2 linked regions of the Drosophila melanogaster genome follow. The protein of the gene in region 1 interacts with the protein of each later gene in a pairwise test. Each region holds a gene or a part of one and is shown in the gene's direction. Other genes may lie near its edges.

The links.
Region 2: the proteins of CG15803 (region 1) and Map205 interact in a two-hybrid assay, tested with the Drosophila melanogaster proteins (one large-scale study listed by BioGRID).

The regions. Positions count from the first base shown.
Region 1 is NT_033777.3:18,357,685-18,362,708, reverse strand, and holds the start of CG15803 (uncharacterized protein), read left to right. Parts: upstream 1-1,980; 5' UTR 1,981-2,191; intron 2,192-5,024. Other genes in the region: hmw (hemingway), read right to left, coding at 1-307, 380-583.
Region 2 is NT_033777.3:32,065,391-32,070,463, reverse strand, and holds the start of Map205 (Microtubule-associated protein 205), read left to right. Parts: upstream 1-2,022; 5' UTR 2,023-2,467; coding exon 2,468-4,135; intron 4,136-5,073. UniProt on the Drosophila melanogaster protein: May play an important role in the regulation of microtubule assembly and interaction.

The DNA.
Region 1 (5,024 bases):
CTTCTTCGATTTCCTCGACTTCAGCATCCTCGTCATCATTCTCGTCCTCATTATCGTTATCATTTTCGCCATCACCTTCGTCATCATCCTCGTCTTCAGCCTCGTCCTCATCCTTAACCCGAGAATGGGCACTGCCTGGCATCAGAGTGCGCACCGAGGGCGTCTCATCCTCCGGAGGCGTGTCCACTCGCAGACTTAGTTGATTTACCTCGGCTACCGTCTTGGTGATGACCACTTGGCTTTCGTCGTCAGAGGAGGAACTCAGGTAGGACACCACTCGGGCGCCCAAATAGCGACGGGCGTGTGGCTGTGGGCGCGATGCAGGTTGCGGATTAAGGCTGAACTCGGAAATAGTCAGCTCCTGGTGAGGAGGACTTACGTTGCCGCTAAGAAACTCTTCTTTCACATCGCTCTCGCTTTGGGTGTCGCTCTCCCCCAACAGAAGAGCGTCACTTGGTTTTGACTCCTCTGGCTCAATATACTCAATCTCTTCTTCCTCCACCTCCACCTCCGACTCCGAGTCCTCCTCGAAGGACTCCTCTCCATAGGACTCTTCATCTGAGTGTTCTCCAGCCCCCGACATCCTGTATGCTTATTCTTCGTCGGTTCTCTGATTAAGTTCCTTTCGTCGTTTGTAGTGTATTTTGTTTTTTTTGGGGTATTAGCGTTGTCACCCGTGTGTTTTTCTTTAGTTTGTACTGAGAACTGCCGAAACTCCTAGGCCTTTCAAACTTTGAATTTTGATTTCAGCTTGAGTAGTTGCTATTTGTTCACTGAGTTTGATTTTGCAGCCATTTCGATGCGCTCTTATGATTGACACCTTTGCGCCCACATTGGGGCAGGTGCTCCTCCGTCTCCGGTCTACCCCAAGTTGGAAAAACTGGGCGCATACCGCGCTTCTTGGCTCAACTTTGACTCCTTGGTTGCATTGCGGTGGCGCTGCCAACCGTCGACTGGAGCTCAGGTGAGCGGAGTCCGCATGCCCACCGCTAACCCCTCGTCGCAGCACCCACCACTTGACACCTGGGAATTTATTTATTCTAGCCAGCGGTTGTCCTGGGCAACAGAGCAGGCGCAGGCGGTTTGTTGTTGGTTGCCTCAGCAGCACTTTGCCGGCTCTTGTTGCGTTAATTATGGAAAACACTGAATAAATTAACCAACAGCACTGGAAATTGATATAAAGTGATATTGAAATAATACAAAAGTTATTCAGCAAGTATATAGCGGATTTACTTTTTAAGCACCGGGTTTAAGCTGCGAACACTAGAACTTTTTGCCGGATATATAATATTGATTTGTGTTTATATATTTCTTTTTTCTCAAGACCATATTACTTTTAACCACTAGCTTAAGAATTACAAGTTTAAAGCCCAATGATTCATATGCTTAATGGATTAAAAGTTAGGAAATTGAAATTGAAGATTGGATTTTCTAACTTGGTCATAAATGTATTATAAAGTGCAATAATAAACTCTGAACAATAAATATTAATCCATACATATATCTATAATAGTTAGTATATCTTGGTGATTTTATTTCTTCTACTTGGTAAACTAAACCATTATTTCCTGCTATGCATTTTCAAATATCTTAAACAATTAAGAATCCCCATTAGCTCCATGTGGCGCCGCCTCTGTGGTCAGGAACTTGCGCTCCAGCACTTTCTCTCCCTCGCCCAGCGACTCCATTCTCGGGGTATTTTCTCTGAGTGACTCTCACGAAATCTGACAGTTGAATGAAAGGCGAAGCGGCGTCGAAATCCGCCGCCTGCCAGTTGCAAATTGTAAATATTGCGAGCGGCGATGGCAGTGCTCCCGAATCGCTGCTTCAAATCCTCTCCAGAGTCATGTGGCCATAAGGCAGTGCGCATGGGCGTTGAGAGTGGCCCCCTCGTGGGTACGATTCCCCCCTGGATTTCCTCGCTTTGAGCGAAGCGGCTGCTGTTGGCCAGCGGGCAATTCATTTGGCCAAGAAGCTTCGTGGCGTGCGGGCGTGTTGCTGAGCCGGAAAATGCGCGCGTAAACCGTGATAGATGTGTGTGAAAATTGTGGCCCGCAACGGGAAAATTGGCAGAGCAAACCAGCAAGTGTGTAGCGTGCCATGTGCCTGTGTTTGTGGAGTGCGTGAATGAAGTGGCACGGTATCGTAGCGGAAATCGTTTGCTGGCCCATCGACTGGCCAGCCAGTGCGGGTAATTAGCGTGGCTAAGAAAAGTCAACAACTAGGCCAACTGAATAACCGGTGACAAGCCCTTCAAGCGTCAACGGCTTTAAAAACGCTTACGAAAAAAATGAGTGGAACGTGCGGCGTATACGCAATATGGGCTTGTAAAATCAAGCGCAAGAGTGGAATAAGCGGCGTATACGCAATCTTGACCAGCTTTTATAACGGCAACATACGGTGTATACGGCATATACGCAAATTCTGCTTCCATTTGCCGTTTTAGTTGTTTAATCAATAGCAAATAGTTGAGGGAAGTTTCACTTTTTGGCAGTCGCTCTTGCCTTTGTCCTTTGCATGCGTTGGTTGATGTTCCTTTGCAACAGTCGCCTAAGTAATTGCAAATTGCGTGCCGCAAGTTTACAAGTTATTTCCGTTTCCTCGCTCGCTCGCTCTCCCTCTCTCTTCCGCGCCCCATCTCTCTTTTCGGGCTGCAGCAATTTGGCTAAGAGCTTGTGACGGCCGCGGGGGTTGCGGGGGCGGCTAGGTGGGTCAAAAGGCGCAGCCACACGACACCAGCAAACAGCCGCAGCCGCCAACCCACAACCCACAATCTGCAACCTACAACCTGAGATCTCCGACTCGAATCCACCAACCCGGCCAAGAGCCGCAGTCAATGCGGCTAGACCAAGAGCTCCAGCTCCAGCTCCGGCATCCGCAAGTCTTGGCACGGATCGGCTTGGCCATGGGTGGATGGAAACACATCCGTTAAGCCGCCAAATACCCTGTAATTGCGAAGAGTTGTGATAGAAATAGCACTGCGTTTAAACAAATAGCACAGCGTTTAAAAATCAACTTAATAGCTATAATAAGTAAACCAGATGTGTTGCGAAATTGTTTTGAATAACAGAAAAAATAGTGAATCGCCGTCGGATTTTTCAATCGATTTACGAACCACATTATTTACTTAGTTTTTTGTTAACTTCTGCAGCCGGATGTTTTTACTCAAACAAATTGTACGACAAAACAATAAAATATAAAACATAAAACTTAAATAGCACGGTCATCACTTTTTGAAGGAAATGAATTTAATAAATTTATTATCATTTTAATTGATGCATCCTACGTGCAACAAACTTTGCTTTTGCTCGCTAAATCATTTTGCGGTTGTGGCTCGAATGTTCAGTGAAAGCGAAACACGATAAAGTTTACCATTTAGCCTTTTTTATAGGCTACTTTTTCAGTTTACTTTAATTGTTAACCAAAATAAACGTGTATATTTGGTATGGTTTTGAGTGGATATTTGTCTTTTTTATAGGCTACTGAATTTTTTATAGATATCTGTTTTTTTAAAGTAAGATATGTGTAAACTTAGATCAGGAAAGACTGAAGTTAATCAAATTTACTTTGATGTAAAGGGGATAACCCGATTTAGACATATTCCCTCGTTTGGCTTTAACATAACTAATGACTTGGCTGAGTTTCAAGGGTATGCAAAACTTCGTTTTCGACTTGGGGCTAACCTTCCACGTTGCCGCTCTATTTTTTTTGCTTATCGATTTTTGACGCTTGACTGACGTCGGGACTTTGGGCCAAAACTCGAGCCGTGAGCCGGCTAATAATGCTCAGTAGGTCAGCGCCGCGGCAGTTTGAAGTGCGTTAGAAGCAACAGTGGCCAACGGCGGGCTGAAACGAAACCGAAAACTGGCACAGGCACATTCACAGCCTAGAAAGAGATGGAACGAGCTATGCGAGCGAGAGGGAAGACCGAACCGCTGGCTCTACTTGAGGCGTACAAAAATAGCAGCTTGGTGGCTCACACACACACTCACACACACACACCAACGCAGTGGCAACTTCAAACGCGCTTGGCCTACTTTTCCTGGTAATGGGCTTGGGACGTCAACTGCTGTTGGTCCTGTTCCTCCAGCTCCGTCCCAGCTCACTTGGCTTCGCCTTGCCACAGACCACTTTCCAGTGCCTCCGACCACCGCAACCAAGTTAAATGAAGCACACTCGCAAGTACATGGGGAAAAACAAAGCAACCCGATAGGGAAAAGAACTTTTATTGTTTCTCTCCAATATTTTACTAATTACATTTTGAAAACTTCTTTAGATAATGTTGCTTTCTAAGATAATTATATGTGGAATGTTCTTATACAAAAGGTGTGAATGAGAGTAAGCAGTTAAAGCAATTTATTCTAAAGTTTGCACATTTTGAAATAGGTAATGAATATTTGAATTGCAATTTTATGAAGCAAATAGCTGGTATTTGAGACACTAAACTTTTCTCAGTGTAAAATCCAGAGGGTGGTGTTCCCGCTACAGCAAATGACCAAACCGAAGGCACAGAGTGAAAAGTTGCGGTGACGGGGAATCGAGTAAGAGTGAGTTGTGAGGAGGAGGACTCAGAACAAGCGGCGTTAATCATACGCATCGTGCGCCAATCCGTGTCCTGCGAATGCAAAGTCAATCAGCGTTTAATTGACAGCTGCAGTCACTGCCAGATACGGCCAACAATGGCCCGATCCCCGAAAGCCGCCCATTGAGCGCACTCGGAAACAACAATTAAACCGGCAACCCACTGAACAGGATTTGGTTTCGGTTACGCTCCTGCGTCCTGTTGCTATGTGCTATGATGCAGGACTTTAGTGCTCCTCCGGCGAGTGGAGGACTTGACCGAACAAAATCCGTTTGGGAAGTATTTTTGATTAATGATTTCAAAGGTTGGCGTCAGAGTTGTGTGCAAACACTGTAAATATGAAGTAGTTAATTGAATGGAAGAAATATACTATGGCTTAATGAAGAAATCTTAAGAAATTCCCTAATTTATCAGTACTAACATAACAAACATAATTGGAGCG
Region 2 (5,073 bases), about 14 Mb from region 1:
AAAGTGGTGATGCACGAAAGAAAGAGACAGAGTTTTTTTACAGTATAAAATGGTCGTGCAAAGAGTCTTGAATATGTAATGACTCCATCTCATTCTCTGTCTATTGTCACCGCAAGCCCAAAATTGTGATGCACGAAAGAAAGAGACAGAGATTTTTTTGCAGTATAAAATATAAAAGTCAATGCCTATTTGCTGATCACTCTTGCTGTTTTTATACCCGTTACTCATAGATTATAAGGGTATACTATTTTCGTTGAAAATTATGTAACAGACAGAAGGAAACGTTTCCGACTATATAAAGTATATATATTCTTGATCAGGATCAAGATCCAAGTCGATCTAGCCCAGTCCGTCTGTTCGTATGAACGTCGAGACCTTAGGAACCATTAAAGCTAGAAGGTTGAGATGAAGCATACAGATTCTAGAGACCACCCTAACGCCCACAAAACCCCCCAAAACTGCAACGAGCAGAGCTTTTAAACAACTTTTGGATATTTTTTCATAATTTTATTAGTCTTGTAAAGTTCTATCGATTCGCCAAAAACTTTTTGACACGCCCACTCTAAAGATCTAAAACCACCTAGAACTACCACGACCACATTTTTAAAAAAATTGTTGGATATTATTTCATAATTTTGTTGGTCGTGTAAATTTTTATACATTTTTTTTGGCAAAAAATTGGTTGCACGTCGATAGACATTGCCAAGACAAATAAAAATGTAAAATGATATCAACAAATTTTTAAAAGATTGGGCGTGGCAGTTTTGTGCGGCTTGTGGGCTTTAGAGTGGGCGTGGCAGCATGGGTCAACAAACTTCCGCTGTGTCTTCGTTTCTAGAATCTGTATGCTTCATCTCAACCTTCTAGCTTTAATAGTTTCTGAGATCGAGACTCTCACGCGGACAATAAGACGGACAGTCGGACATGGCCAGTTCGACTCGGCTATTGATCCTGATCAAGAATATATATACTTTATATGTTCGGAAACGCTTCCTTCTGCCTGTTACATACTTTTCAACGAATCTAGTATACCCTCTTACTCTACGAGTAACGTTATAAAAACCTTTCGCAGCTAGCATGTTAAAATGAGGAAGGGGGTGTATTATGCTCTTACAGATTATTTGATAAAATGCTAAGTCTAAAAATAAATACAACATCCTCGTAGCCGTAGATTATTTGATAAAATGCTAAGTCTAAAAATAAATAAAAAATCCTCGTAGCCGTATGTAAGACGAGACAAAAATAAATAAAACATCCTCGTAGCCGTATGTAAGACGAGACAAAAATTAATTGCAAATTTTTTAGGCGAAATCGGGCAATAAAAGGGAGCAAGCAAATCCAATCGATAAAAGAATAAAAAAAAACGCTTTAGAACTGATATGCCAATGTTCCGTTTGCCTTAGCTCTATGAAATCTGACTGTCCTACGGTAATCGATTTTCTCTTGTGCCGACATATCAAGCACCGCAAAGGGGACCGTGGGGCATAACCTTAGTATCGAGAACACGACACAGCTTTTTATAAAATAATATCAAGCCGAAGAGCTAAAATAAATTTTGTATAGCCTAAAGCCTTACGATTAATATCATTCTTAAAAAAATTAAAGAACTCAACTTTCTAGCCGTTTTTTATTTTATATTTAGCCAAAAATGGTTAAAACCATATAATTTACAGCCGCTTGTTGATTATTTAATGAGTATTTATTATAACGTCAACTGAAAGGGACTTATTGTGCGATTTAATATATCCTCCTGCTGATAATAAGTAAATATACTGTGGACAGACCGTTGGACAAAATCTACTGGACGTTAGTATTAATAGAGCTATAATACCAATCAACTTATCGAAGTATCGACGAACCGATATCTTGTTCCCGGATTGCGTGAAAATACTGAGGACAGACCGTTCGACAAAAAACCTGTCATTTAGTATTAATCGAGCTATCGATATCTTATATATACTAAAAGATATCATTCAGTATTTTAACAAACGATCCACTGTCGGTATTTCAAGACAAGCCAAGTACGTTCATATTTCGTTTTTTCGTCAGGGTGGGTGTGCGCAAAAATTGGTCGGCAAGCAATTCAAAAGTAAGAGCAACCGGAGCGAACAAAAAAGGGAATAACTTACTAAAATCTCTGAAAGAAAAATAAAAAGACTAACGGGCTCGGCAAGCTGTGTTTATTTCGACAAGTAATTATATACTTGGAGTGCAAGCAAAGGCGAAGGAAGTGGAAGGACAAGCAACGAAATCGTGCTCTTATCCGTTCCTGTACTGTGTCTCTCTTTCGCTGGGAGAGTGTGTGTATTGGTGTGAGTGTAGAAATCTGCAAGAACAGCAACGCCAATAAAAGTGGAATCGAGAAAAAAAACGCAGTGGCGCGTGAATCACGAGCAATCTGAATCATCTCTCTACAAAAATACCTGTTTCTGTTGGCGCATCATTTATACCAATTAAATCCTAAAGGATGGAACACCACGAGGACAACGCGCAGTTGGACAACTACTTGCAGAACCGCCTGGCCGAAAGTCTGCAAATTTGCGGAGGCGCCGGCGAGCATAATCCTCATCTGGCAGACGCTACTGGGGGGAACGGCTGCGCTCCTGGCATTGCGCCCTCAAAGTCGGACGAAGTCGACGGGGAAGAAGACGAGGAGTGGAAGTACATACACGAGGTGCGGCAGAGTGAAAAGCTTCAACAGGAAAAGCTTCCACTGACAAAGGAAACCGGCAATGGCTTCGGGCCCGGACGGGACTCAGATAATCAAGTTCACGGAAACGGAGCTGCCGCTGTCTTCAATCTGTACGAAGAGGACGTGGAAGTGATCAAGAACGATGGTGACTTCTCGACAAATTCTAACACCACTACTTCAACGGACGAGGTAGTTGCCAGGCAGGCCCAGGAGCCAAACCAGTTGCCGGAGCAGCTTCAACAGCAGCAGCAGATAGAATCACAAGGTGTTCACGAGGATCCCCGTCAGGAAGATGAGGATGAGCACAGCTCCGTGGCCACTACTTATGGAACAAGCAGTCTCAGTGAGAACAACTCCTCGCCTTTAGATCAGGAGGAGGTCGTTATGGTGGCCCAAACGGTTGGTCAAGAGCAGTTAGTGGACTTCGACAACAAGGAAAACTCCTATTTTGTTAAAAACCTGGAAGAAAACCACTCGCAGCTAAACCCCAATGCTGTGGCCTTTGTGCCTGGCGTTGGCTCACAATCATCCTCTCCCCTTCCTGCTGCTGAAGATCCACTACCTGGTGTTCAGCCCCGCCCATTTCTACCGGGAGGGACCCTTGACGATTTGGTGGCGGAAAGTCCGCGGAAAGAATTCGCCCGAATCAACATGGATGGTATTGCCGTGCCCGACGAGCGGGAATTTGACATTGAAGCGGATATGCGACCCCACGAGTTGGAGCAGGAATCGGACACTTTTGGGGCAGGACACCTGGAGATGCAGTTGTTGAACGGTATAGGAACCGCTGACCAAGCAGCCTTAAGGGATGTTCTGGATCACGGTCCAGAGACAAGTGTCGATATGGAGTTGCCACTAGATCAGGTGCCCAACGACGCCGACATCATGAAACAATCGATTTATGCCGAGCACAACTCCTCCATTGAAGATATCTTAAATTCCGTGCAACCTTTGCCAATTCAGACTTGTGACGATAAGGAACTAATTCATGTGGAAGAGAAAGAACATGTCTCGAAGTCGCCTTCTACAGAGGAGCTCCAGTTTCAGTCCGACTTCCCAAACAATCAGGAATCGCACACATTATTCAATAACACTGAGCAGGATCCAATGCAGGCTTCATTTTATTTGGAACATACCTCTCAAAAGGCTCAAGAGGGCTGCCAGGAGCAAATGCAGCTTCCCGCTGAGTGCTCTGATATTTTTGCCGACCAGAGTTTATTGCTAGACACCAGTGCACCCCAGTTGAGCTCCGAAGCAGACTCGCCTGTGGCGAAATTGGAGCTGGAATCCCAGCAAGCTGGCATTGTAGACATCACACCTTCGCCCCTTTCTTCCACTGCAGAGAAACATCTGGTTGAAGACACCAAGGAGCTAGTTGAGGAGTACACGTTGGATCCGGAATCCCATTTCTTTGGGGTTGTTTCATCTCAAGCTCCTCTACAGGTAAGCTAAAAATCATGAGCAAATTTGCAAGATCTATTATTATACACACTTCATTTGAAATCACAAGTTTCTAAGATAAATTATTAACTTTGTTGTTATACTCTTTTGTGTTTGAACATCGCATGTGCATGATACGCTACAGCGCCTGTGGACTTCATTCATTCCCAAACTCTCCTTATAACTCTCTTTCTTTTGGGGCTTACTTTTTTTAAAATCAATCATTTATTCGATTACAAATGAGTAGTATTTAGATTCAAAGTTTTAACTTTTAATGCGCAGCCTAGTTTATAACTTCATAACTACTTTTGTTTGTTTTGCATACTTAGTAATGTTCTTTCTGATGATTGCTGCATAGTATTAATTAAATTCTGTTTTAATGATTATTGAGGTGTGCTCTTTTTAAATTTTATTTTGTCCTGGGGTGCGTCATTTGGCTCGCTCTCGCGGCACTGTCGACATTGCTGTTTCCTACGCTCTCCCTTTGTTTTTTGCATTTGGGTGGGGTTGCTTTTTGTTGTTGGACGTGTGTTACTCAATTTTTACACCCAACAGGACATGCAAGTGTTTCCATTGAATGGAATATGGTGTTGGGTTTTGAGTAAGACAGAGTTTTGTATTTATTTGGTGTTATGTCTTTTTTTATTTCTAAAGTTAAAGGTTTGTCCTTATATTAGTCTAAAAAACTTAGATTGTTGCAGTGGCAATGTACAGTACAAAGTTATATTGGGAATGTTTGCAATCCTAAGTAATATAGGTAAAAGGGTTTTTTTCCTTCCTTATACTAATGTACAGGTGTTATTAAAAGCCTTAAGTTAAAGGTTATTTCCTGTGTCCCATAAATATATATTAAAACGTAAACTAATAAACTGTTACCCGAAATTCCTATTTTTATGTTTGGTTTTCGTTCGTTTTTAAGATTTCGATGAGCTGAGTTCGAA